Linked DNA regions of Drosophila melanogaster. The gene in region 3 interacts genetically with the main gene of each other region. Each region holds a gene or a part of one and is shown on either strand. Other genes may lie near its edges. The genes, in order: sty, aop and RasGAP1.

What was found.
Region 1: of RasGAP1 (region 3) and sty, changing one enhances a phenotype caused by changing the other (phenotypic enhancement), as found in Drosophila melanogaster (one study listed by BioGRID).
Region 2: of RasGAP1 (region 3) and aop, changing one enhances a phenotype caused by changing the other (phenotypic enhancement), as found in Drosophila melanogaster (one study listed by BioGRID).

Annotation. Positions count from the first base shown.
Region 1 is NT_037436.4:3,423,112-3,426,867, forward strand, and holds the start of sty (sprouty), read right to left. Parts: upstream 1,825-3,756; 5' UTR 1,314-1,824; intron 1-1,313. UniProt on the Drosophila melanogaster protein: Inhibitor of tracheal branching that restricts branch budding by antagonizing the BNL-FGF pathway (BNL: branchless, an fgf inducer of branching).
Region 2 is NT_033779.5:2,176,909-2,180,664, forward strand, and holds the start of aop (anterior open), read right to left. Parts: upstream 1,847-3,756; 5' UTR 939-1,846; intron 1-938. UniProt on the Drosophila melanogaster protein: Ets-related protein that functions as a negative regulator of photoreceptor development acting antagonistically to pnt and the proneural signal mediated by RAS. It acts upstream of SINA to inhibit R7 development.
Region 3 is NT_037436.4:9,853,603-9,857,358, forward strand, and holds the start of RasGAP1 (Ras GTPase activating protein 1), read right to left. Parts: upstream 1,684-3,756; 5' UTR 1,211-1,683; coding exon 1,063-1,210; intron 1-1,062. UniProt on the Drosophila melanogaster protein: Inhibitory regulator of the Ras-cyclic AMP pathway. May function as a negative regulator of Ras85D/Ras1 in the sev signaling pathway. Acts cell autonomously in cone cell precursors as a negative regulator of R7 photoreceptor cell determination.

The DNA.
Region 1 (3,756 bases), 6.4 Mb from region 3:
GGTTTTAGGAAAACTCCCAGATGCTTTGGTTTTACCCAAAGTCATATAGAAACAGACCAAGACCTTGCATTTAAATGTACTTCTTATGACTTCTTTAATCATTAAAGGACTTTCCAATTTGCAATTCTTTGCTATGATTTAAACAATGATTATTGCCTACATTTATATCAGAATTTAATTATACATAATATCCCCATTTATATATTCAAATGTAAAACTACATTATGTTTGCAAAATGGGTTAAGTTTTTAAAATTCTTGCTGAGCCTCAGCCTCCATGTGAGCTGGCATAAAAGGCCAAAGTGTGTCTCAGCTTTCAGCCTTCAGTCCGATCTTGATTTCGCGTCATTATGATTCGCATACAGATTATACAAATTTCGAAAAAAGATATATATTCGGAGGGTAGGGACTGGTTGGTCTTCATGTTTATGAGACATCTGCAGACAAACGCAGCGGGTAGCCGGCGAACGAAAACACGATCTCCATCCTCATCAGCCAAACCAATTTCATTTCGAGATTCGTTCAGCTGTCGGTATTTGTGGGCTACTGTTTCGAATTTTTCAAAGTCGCCAAATAATTTTAATGATCTGGCACAGCGAACAAAGTACTAAATTAACTTAAGAGCCTTCTTCCAGCCACTTCGCCCCACTCATCCTCGCCGATTCCGCCTTTCCCCCCATTTGGGGCAGTGAAAATGATTTATGGCATTCCAGAATGCCTAAGCTCTAAGGCTCAGGCATAAGATTTGATTTTTAGGTAGGGAAAAAGGGTACAGATGACAAATTTATAAAATTAAGACCTATCATACTATCGATTAAATGTTATTCCATTACTCAAAGCTCAAAGATATTGTAGGGAAATTGTTCATCATTGTTTGACTAAAAGAAACAATGTCACGAATTTATTTTTATCGAGTTGATCTTGTTTTTTTAAAATATTGGCTAGGATAGACTTTTCAACTTTTCCAGAAATTTAATTCCCAATTTCTACAAACTATACAACCGCGTATTTACTCAGATATTTAAGATTCAAATGGATGAACATTTTATAATACATTTATAATATCCTTGACAAATCTTCGATAAGATCTCTTGCATAAAAATCACTGGCATATAAATGACTTTTAATGCCTTTCCAACTGATGAGCACTGGTCACTTAACCTTTGGGTGACTTTTAGCTCTCAAGAGAAGAACAAAAAGTCAAGATCCAAAGTTCCAATTGACAATATGAATGACTTGAGACATTTAAGTGTTCTTCGACTGCGAAGGTTCATATATTGATAGAGATGGACAAGGGACAATGAAGCTACTCACCGGTGAAGGGAAGTTGCTTGATGGATGGGTTCTGGTTGAAAGTTTTCCTCGGCTTGGTCGACTCGATTGCAGATAATGCGGATAATTTGATTAGAGATTTTTTTTGGCTCGGTACAGCTCGCCTTTGTTCGTTCTGGTTTTTGGGGTTGATTGAGTTGTTTTGTTTTTCTGGTGGCAACTGTACTCAACGAGATGCCTTGGTTAATTGATTAATAGCACGATTAATTTGTAATAAAGTTAAAGAGGCTTACGCTATGTATGATTATGTTTTTTTTTTCAATGGGATAGTTTACTATTTAAAATTGTTAATTATTTAAAAACACGCGCACTTTTACTTGGATTCACTTAAATTACGCATACGCCGTGTGCGCATCTATTAATCGCTAATTGCGTTGTGTCTTTGAACATACAACTGTATATATATCGGGTATATATATTTGGTAAATAATTTTGCAAGCACAAGTTCTCGGAGATTGCACGTTGAATGCAGCCTGACTATCGTCCAGTGACTGAGCCAATGTTGCACGACTTTTGCATCGGAGCTGCAGCCTCACCCGAAGATTGCCGATAGGATCTCGTCCTGGAGGGGAATACCCATTCGTTGGGCCGAAGGTCCCAAAATCCGAAACACGAAACGACATTGCGTGGGCTTCGTGCGACATTCGTATTGTTTTCCGATTTCGGCTATTGCTGCAGGACTAATCCTGGCTCCTGGCTGCTGGTTGCTCCTGTTCCCAGCTCCTGGCTCCCAGTTCCCTCCATTTGCATGGCCATCCAGCCCCCTCCAATTGCCTACCAACCCACCAGCCACCCGCCACCCAACATCCTGGCCTCGGTGGCCCGGCCAATGAGCACTCGGCTTTCAAGGTCGTCCGTTTGACGGCCATTTTGAATGCATCGCCACTTTCAATGGGCGCCCACTCACACACGCCTGCATTTCCTGGCCCAATGAGCTGGGCTCTGGCCCACTCAGTTGCCTTGGCAACGACCTTCGGTAGGCGTCGCCTCGACATTGGCCATGGCAGTGAATTTCCACTTGGGGGTTGTTGCAATTACCCCCAAGGTCATCCGTTGTCCATCAGCTGTTCGGCCAGGGTTGCCCTGCCTCCTTAAGGCGGGCTTATTTGAAAATTAGCCAGCACCCTGTGCACCGCTCCCAAATTAAAATCGAACAGCACACTCAAAGCTCATTTCGTTTACTGCCCCATAAATTAATCAGTGAAAATAATAAAGATTTCAATATTATTTCCAACGACATCCGGTCGAATGCGGCACCAAATTTGGCGGAAAGCAGCCACTTCGCCGAGCTCCACATATGGGCGGTACGCATCACAATAACTCTACATATATATTTGTATACGTATATATTGTATATGTATAAGGAACATCAGAATAAAGAACAATAAAAAGCTAAAGTCTAACAAGAAAGCTGAGTGAGCTAAATTGGATTCAAAAACGAATGTGGATTACTTTCTTGAGCGCTAGGAAAATGTTATTTTAGGATGAGTAAGTTGAGTAAGATACTTTTTGAATAGCATTAAATAATAATATATTTTAAATACTTCCCAAGAACATAAAGAAACAAAATAACCTTTTAAGATAAGGGTATCCCCGAAAGAATTTCATTTGCTTTGCTGCGGAGTTGGACAACTGGACATCTGCCATTGTTTGGACCCTAAATTGAAATGCCAACCGAAATGTGAATCATTCGATCAGATCAAACTCGACAACAAAAAGTGGTCTGCCATTCAATTATATATACGTATGTATATTGGCCGAAACATTTTTGGGCAAACAAATTCGAATAAATGAGTGTGAATGCGAACGGACAGAATAAAAATAAATGAAATTTCATTGAACGAAAATGCTCAATGAGAAATCCGTATGAAAGTTGGCCAAGTTGATGTCTGGGTGTTTGGCTCTGATGGCTTTTCGTGCATTCAATCCGCAATGAATACGCCACCCCAGTCCAACAGTTTTCCCGCCTGACGTCACAAGTGTCCTAGATAATCGCCGCAGTGGCAGAGGTAACACATTGGCCTCGAGGTGAATGTCTAAACATGAACTCGAGGGCAATTTCAGACAGCCAAAAGAATAAAAATAAAAATCACACTCACAGCACAAGTGGCAGCGAGACGCACGTGCAAAATATTTATTTGGAAATCAGCGATTGGCGTGGTCGCTGTTTTTCTCTAAGCAGATCCGTTCCCAATACCACTTCCGTCCGATAATCGATGGGTTCTGTCAATTATTCGGAGTTTTAATTCTGAATTTTCGGAAGAACACGAAACACGATTTTTCTTAGCAGCAGCCAGTAGCGAGGGAAAAACCAAAATATGAATTGAATATGAATTAAGCAGTTTTTAGAAAGCGAGCTTCAAATCTTCTTAACTCAGATAAGCTTGGTTATAACAGTTAAACAACCAAACATGTTTATGCACTC
Region 2 (3,756 bases), on a different chromosome or scaffold from region 3:
TATTTTCCAAGTGAATCGATCTTGTTCGTATTGTAGAATGCTAGGGAATCGGTGAAGCGTACCGTGCATACAATGAGAGTCAAGACACTGGGCTTGGGAAGAGAAATTACTATCATATCATATTGTTACTAGACTGAGCTATGAGTATTTGCATATGGTTCTCAACCAACCACAGGTAATAATTAATCACAATCCAACTAGACTGTAAGAAATATCTAATCATATTTGGAAACAAGAAGAACATACAACAAATTATGCGCAACAATCAGATAACAAAACAATAATTAAACTATAAAACCACTCCCAAGATCCCCATAAAATTGTAACTCTTATTATTTAAACAAGCCCCAAATGAAAACGCCACAATCAGATCCTCTGAACAGGCAAATAAATCAACTAAACCTTAGATAAACCGTTGTTGCCGAGTCTTCATCCATCTCATATGAGTGTACTGCGAACCAAATATAGCCCAAGTTATCTGTTTACACGTGTAGATCCGACAAATTGTTGACCTCAACCAGAGACCAAAACTCAGACATTGTAAGACGTCGGGTGGAGCGAAGTGGGGAAGTCATATGCAGCAGATAACCAAAGCCAGATTAAGGTGGAGCAATTATTTATCAGCTGCTCAGACAAGACACTTTTCTGTTTCCATGACCATTGTGACGTAGTTATGGGAAATACATGTACCAAAAGATGGTGTTTTAACCAATTCGTAAAAAAAAGCAACGACGGCAATGGAGTGATACAGGGGTAATGTCTGTAAACACCGATTCTTGCACGATTACGAATATAAAAGAACTCCAGATATAAAAACCATTGTGCTTACATATTGAGAAAAAATGTTTTTATTTTTGACACTCTTTTCTGCTACTATTTTGACAATGGTTAATTTAACAGTTCACAACAAAAAGTATACAAATTATCAAAATTCTCACCTGTTTGCTCCACTGTGCACTGTGGTTACGTACTGTAAGGTGAGTGAGTGAATTTGTCTGTTTGCGTTGGGCTTCGGATTCGATTCTTGAGCTTTTTAGCGACAGAAGCAACGCGGAAGCGGATATGTCCAGATCCCAGAATGCTTTAGCTTTTGCTTCGCTTTCTTGTTTTATTTTTGTTTTTGGTTTTGTTTCTGTTAATTCGATGTTGTTCTTGTTGTTATCTGCTGATGACGAAGAGGGCGTCGCGCCAAGTTGCCATTGTTGTTTGTGTTGCTGTTTCCTTTTGGTGAGGGGCGCCGCGTGGGCGGTGGTTGTGTGCTTTTGGGGCTAATCCAGGCTCTCTGTTTTTGTTTTTGTTTTCGCTTCGTTCTGCGACAAATGCCAGCCGTAAAGCGGAGCAAATGAATAAGAAGAAGGCGAAGTCAAGCGTTTTTACTTCCGCCGCCGCCTCAGCAGCACGCACACACAGGCAGACGCGGGCACACAAACGCACACGCACACTGTAAGACACTCACGCGATGCACTTGCACTCTGGCGTTTTGTTCGTGTATTTGTTGTTGTACTTTGGCATTTCCTCTTTCGTCTTCCTTTTCACTTTTGCTTGCACTTCTTGTTGCGTTGCTTTGCTCTCGCTGATGTTGCTGTTGTTGTTGGCGTTGTTGCTGTCGCTCTTGTTTATTTTTTATTTCCGTTTCGCGCACACACACACCGGGCAATGTAAACACACACCGAGTTAAGAAGAACCGTTTATTTCCTCAACGCCGCGCACGAATTAAATTCTATTAATTGTGAATTAATCAATTTAAAACATATTAGTTTGCCATTTACAGCAGAATGTCTAGTTGCTTTCAGGAGCGACTCTTCTACACGTCCGCCCAGCACGGCAGTTTCTTTTTGACTGCCGATTCGATTCGAACAGGCGGCGAACATGAACAAGTCGGCGCATGCGGAGAGAGAATCGAAAGAGAAAGAGAAGCAAAGAGAGCGACATACAGCAAAAACAATTCAAAAAGAACTGGTGAAGAATACGAAAATAAGATAATTTTTTAAGGAAGTCGCGCTTTGATCCGTATCCGTTTTAGCGTCCAAGATTTATATCTTAAATCGGACCTATATTTTGAGGTACAGTGAAGCTTTGATGCGCCAGTCTTATATGAGTTAAAGTTTTAACGATTGAAAGACACCCCTGAGCTGCTCATTATATTTCAATATTTATAAACAATCTTATATCAGAGCTTGAGAGACTTGCATGCGCCACAAAATTCCAATTCCAATTCCGGAATAATTTCACAATAATCTCAATTAACATACGTATTTTATGTTCGTAATTTTTTAAAATTCCCAGATTCCCCACAATTGCCATAATAATCTCGATTATGTTATTATACTCTGAGAAGTAGGAGTGTGTGCAAAGACCACAAACAAATCATTAGGCGCGTAAACATTTACAGATCCACCATCCACTTCCTTGGCAACGAAAGAAGCAACAGCTCGCAGAGGTAATAATTTAAATAATTTAAAACCCACCAAAGTTTACTACGAAACAACTCAATAGGCAACCGCTGTCTGTGGGCGGCGTCGAATTCGCGTGGGGCGCTCGATTTAGTTGTTAATCAATAGAAGATAAAGTTTAAACAAACGATTCATGCTGATACCAGAAGCATGGGCGCCGAAATACCAAGGGATCGTTCTCTCACTAGATAACATACACACCTATTGTGACTGGAAACTTGAAATGATCGAGCATGCCATACCCATTAGCTGTCAATTGTGACTATTGGCGAGCTTTTTGCACATAAACCATAGATAAGACAATTCCGTGAACTCTAATCAGTGTGCGATAATGCTCTCAAGCATTTGAAATAATTATGAATACGACCCCCTGGCCGAAAATGAAATAAGCGCCACGCGCCTGGGAAAAGCGCTCTATTGTAATACAAAATGTTTGGAGGTGCTAGCTGATAGGTGTTTTCGATCCCATAAATCTTGGATCTTCATGGAAACCAGTTGGCAATCTTTAATTATAAATTGTTGGAACATTTCCGCTCGGCTGCGACGGAAAATCTCTTTGGAAAGGGGGCGGGGCTGGGGTTCCTCGTCAGGTTGCTTGGACGGTCGGTTGGTCGGTCGGTCGGTGGGCCTGAAGATGCGCTCAGTTGCACTGCATCCGCTTTGGGGTCTCCAGTCGCCTCAGTTGGCTAACCAGTTTCTCCCCGAGCAACGAGCAACGTTTACGTTGACATTTCAAGTCAAATGCCCATAAACGGCGACCAGCCGGACGACCCCGCCCACGCCCTGCACGCCCCTGCTCAGTTCCGTGGGTATGCACTGAAAGAAAATCTAGATTAATGGGCATTTAGGTAAGTAATAAATAGTAACATGTATTTTTATGGCTATAAATAGTTTAGCGAGTAAGCCTCGTGATATGAAACATTAAAGAACTTTTAGATTGTGACTCTAATTAAGAAATATAATAGAGATATTTTTTTCAAGTGCTATCTTTTCCGTCGATAGCTGCGATGGCGATGACGACGTTTCCAAGTGATCGCCGCAGCGACGATCACTGGCCCAAATTAGTAGCTTCGGTCATGGTGCGTCGCCCATCGGGAAATTCCAGGGTGAAAGGGTGGCTGGCGGAGGAGGAGGACGGGGCGGAAGGGGCAGAGCTGCCGATGAGGATCGCACAGGGGTCAGAGTTCAAATAGTCGTCCAATTGAGCCAATCAGCGTTTGTACATCTGTATTTCGCCATTGCAATGCAACCAGTACGCCTCTGCTGCGCCACCTCCCACTCCATTCAGATCCATCCGACTTGT
Region 3 (3,756 bases):
AAATGAGATCACGGGAACTTTTGAACCCCCCCCCCCCCTCCCCGCACAGTACACACAGCCAGTGGTTATTCATAATTCTGTTTTACTTTTTATGTTTCAACAGGAAATGTAAAACCACCAAAAAACAACCGCAAGTTTATTTTTCGTCTATCTCTTGCAGTCTGCTTCGCTCTCGCTTCAGAATGAAGTGGATGGCAGAATGGAGAGGAAAAGTGAGAGAGCGTCATTCATTCATTTGACCTCTTGCCAATATATAGTAGGCCATTAATCGATGCTCTTTTCGCTTGTTGCTTTTGATAATCATTCATAAAACAGACACCTTCGTATTGAGAAAAGTACACCGAATTCGAAAATTCCATTCATAAAAAAACCCACACATTGTTGCTGGGATCTCTCTGCCGCTTGTGTGTGTGCGTTTGTCGCGTGTGTGTGAGCATGCGCTGGAGCGTCTCACAGACACATGCTTGATTTCCGATTCATTCACAAAAAGGGGCGCATTCAAAACTGCGGGGGGTGTGCTGGGCGATGAAGGAGGAAGAGCGGTTCTGGGGGTGGGTCAAGAAGCGAATGCCGTAACATTCAGCCTGGTCATCCATTACTTCTCAAACGGCAGCAACAACAAATGTATTGCACTGCTGCTGCACGAAAAAAAAACACACACACACAGGGAAAAAGGCAACAGAAACACACACGCACAGAGCAACACGCGAGTCAGAGCGGGACAGCATGCTTATACACTTGAACGCAATATGCATTTCTAGAACAAAAACACATTTGTTTTCTCAATTAATCGACTTTCTTTGCCTCAACTCGCACAAATTTCGGTTTGCCATTAGATTACACAACATTTTGGAAAACTTTTAGACATATTCTCCCGATTCTATGTTGTTTTCTGCTTGGAAGAGGCTCCGCGGGGCAAACGGCGACGCTGTCAAAATTCCAGCACACTTTGGAACATAAAAAACGCACGTTGCTGCGCGTATTTCACTCAACGTTCATGCCACGCATGTTCTTCGACATATTTTTGATGTTTTTGAACGATTTCGCACTCGATTTACATACCAATTTTCACTTTTAATTGCTCTTCAATGCGCACTTCGCGTGTATCGGCCATTTTGTTGTTGTTGCTGCTTGGCTCGACGGCGACGGGCGAGTTAATATTATTGTCGTCTCGCTCGTCGAACATATAGCGCTTCTTCTTCAGCAGCATTGTGCGCTTAAAGCAGCCAGCTTTTTGTCAGCTACCCACTGGGGAACTTGCAACACGCGATTGGAAATTTATCTAACTCCTTCACTCGATCTTCACGAAACTTTAATAACTCGAAATTATTTGTTTTTCTTTAACAGGTTTATTAGCCGGCTATTTGCATTTGAATTTCATCACTCGCTGCAGCGTTGCATTGTGCATTGAGCTGGTGTGACGGGAATATGAGTCGATTTGCCGCTCACGAAATGCACTTTCCCTGTTGCTTCAGGGCTCGACTGATTTTAGTATTTCGTTTTAACTACAAACTGTTTTTTGCACGCACTAGCAGACGTGGGATTATATTATCGAAGTATGGAAAGTAATTCGGTTGCTTGAATCAGAATCGCAAAAACTTGGTTCTCCGAGTTTATTTGCTTTGCGGGTTTACACGCATCCGCGAACAACCTTTCGAAGCGGAATCAGAACTAGAGTGACCGTAGCGAGACGGTTGTATGACTCCAACGAATTAGTGTGACCTTAGCACGGTGCCCCGAAAATACCACGGGAAACGCAAATGATTAATGTTTGCTTAATAATTTGTTTGAAGCAGATATGTTTTAAAATAATTTTTTTATTTTATTCAACAACGGCTTATGCTTATTAAGTTAAGCACAACAGTAAGGTTTTCATTAAAAATGTTTAAGTTTAATTTCGATATTTCACCAGTTCTGGCTATCGAATATATATCGTTAGCTCCAACAAACAGTTATATATTTTGTAATTTATTTAAAATTGATTATTATTAAACACTGAATTTTTGGTTTTTTTTATTTTAACTTGAGGTTTAATTGATGTTTTTATTAATTCCGATTGGTTTTTAGTTGCTTAACTTTGAAACACACTCCGAATTACGAACGTGTTGCAGGTCGGCCGAAATGGAACTGAATTAAAATTTCCAAGCGGCAAGTGTACACATGCACCTCCCAAAAATTTTGTGAATGAAAACGCACACACGCAGCAGCGGTCACCTACACTTAAACACACACACATGTTGCACCGGCGCCACCAACAGCGGAAACAACCGAAGATCGCCGGCAGAGAAAGTCGAGGCATATGCGACTTAAGAAGGGCGGTACAAAGCAATAAAAAACCCTGTTTTGTTTATGATCGATCGTTAAGGAATTATATCAGAAAGCAATGTTTATTTTTAAATTCAACCAGTTTAAGATTCATATCTATTCCAATAACCATGTATCAATAGCTAGTTATGCTTAGCAAAGTAAGTAAAAATCAAATGCCCGGCTGTTTATACCGTAGCGCACATTACGTGGGCGTTCTGGATCGCAGACAGTCCACAGGAACCCGAGGAACTACATAGTACACACATATGTACATTAAAAGTACACAAATATTCAGAAACAAGGCAGTGAAATGTGAAATTCACACGGCATCCGGACAGCAACGCCGCTTATGTTTTTCTTTACGCATATGTTGCTTCTGCTCCTTGCCTTGGAAACCACATGCATCACAACAACAACAAGAACAACAACTGGCAGGGAGAGATCAACAAGTGAGGCGGTGCATCTTATCACAACTGCCGCCAATAAGTGGAAGTGGTCGGGTCAACATTTCGGATGGTTGCTCGGCTGGGTTTCATTGTTTTCGTATGCCCTGCATTTGATCTAGTCACTTCAACTGCACTGAGCAAAATAATTGTATATAAAATAAATTATAATTGTAAATACTATAACACAGTTATAGTTTATAGTAATTGTAATAATTTAAAGAGACTTATCGAAAATTAACATTTCCCTTTAGTATATGCTTTTAAAGTGTATCATAATATTTGTTAAGAACGTTCACAATGCTATTTTCTGTGTAGCGTGCGTAACGACCATTTGAATATGTTGATCATTTCGCTCAACGAAACGTAACCGACGTGGGAAGAAGAGGAGACAGGGCTTTTCTTCTTTTTTTCCGTTTCCAGCTGTCCACTCGATTCCTCCTCCTCCTCCATTTGCCCCGCCCACAAAATTCGAAGCTAGGCGCAGATGTTATAAATATAGTATTTTGTGGCATTTCCATTCGTATGAATGGGTCTACGAGTTTCGGTTTCAGGTTTTTGGGCCTGTTTATAAACCCACTCCTCCCATATTTTCTCATATTTATGTCCGGAAAAGTGTTTTGGTCATTTGTCTAGCTTCCGTTATTATTTCGTTATGAATGAAAAACCCATTTGGACCGGGTTTTTTGATCTCCCTAATTTACAACATTTATTTAGTATTAACTCGATCTTGACGTCAATATGGGTTCGTAAACTTCGTTTACTATTTGCGTCGTGAACAAGTTTCTTAAAACGTTTAGTTTTTCTTATCCACCTCATGTTAATGTGAAGTTTACACATAAATACTCATAAAAGACCCCAATGTGGGTTTTCCTAATCGCACTTTGAATACATTTAAACGGCAAGAGGAAAAGGCTGTTAAATAGATTTATAGATGATTTTCAAGCTTCGATTTTTTTTGTTGAATTTATGGATTTTAAAATATATACCAATCAAGGGCAATTAG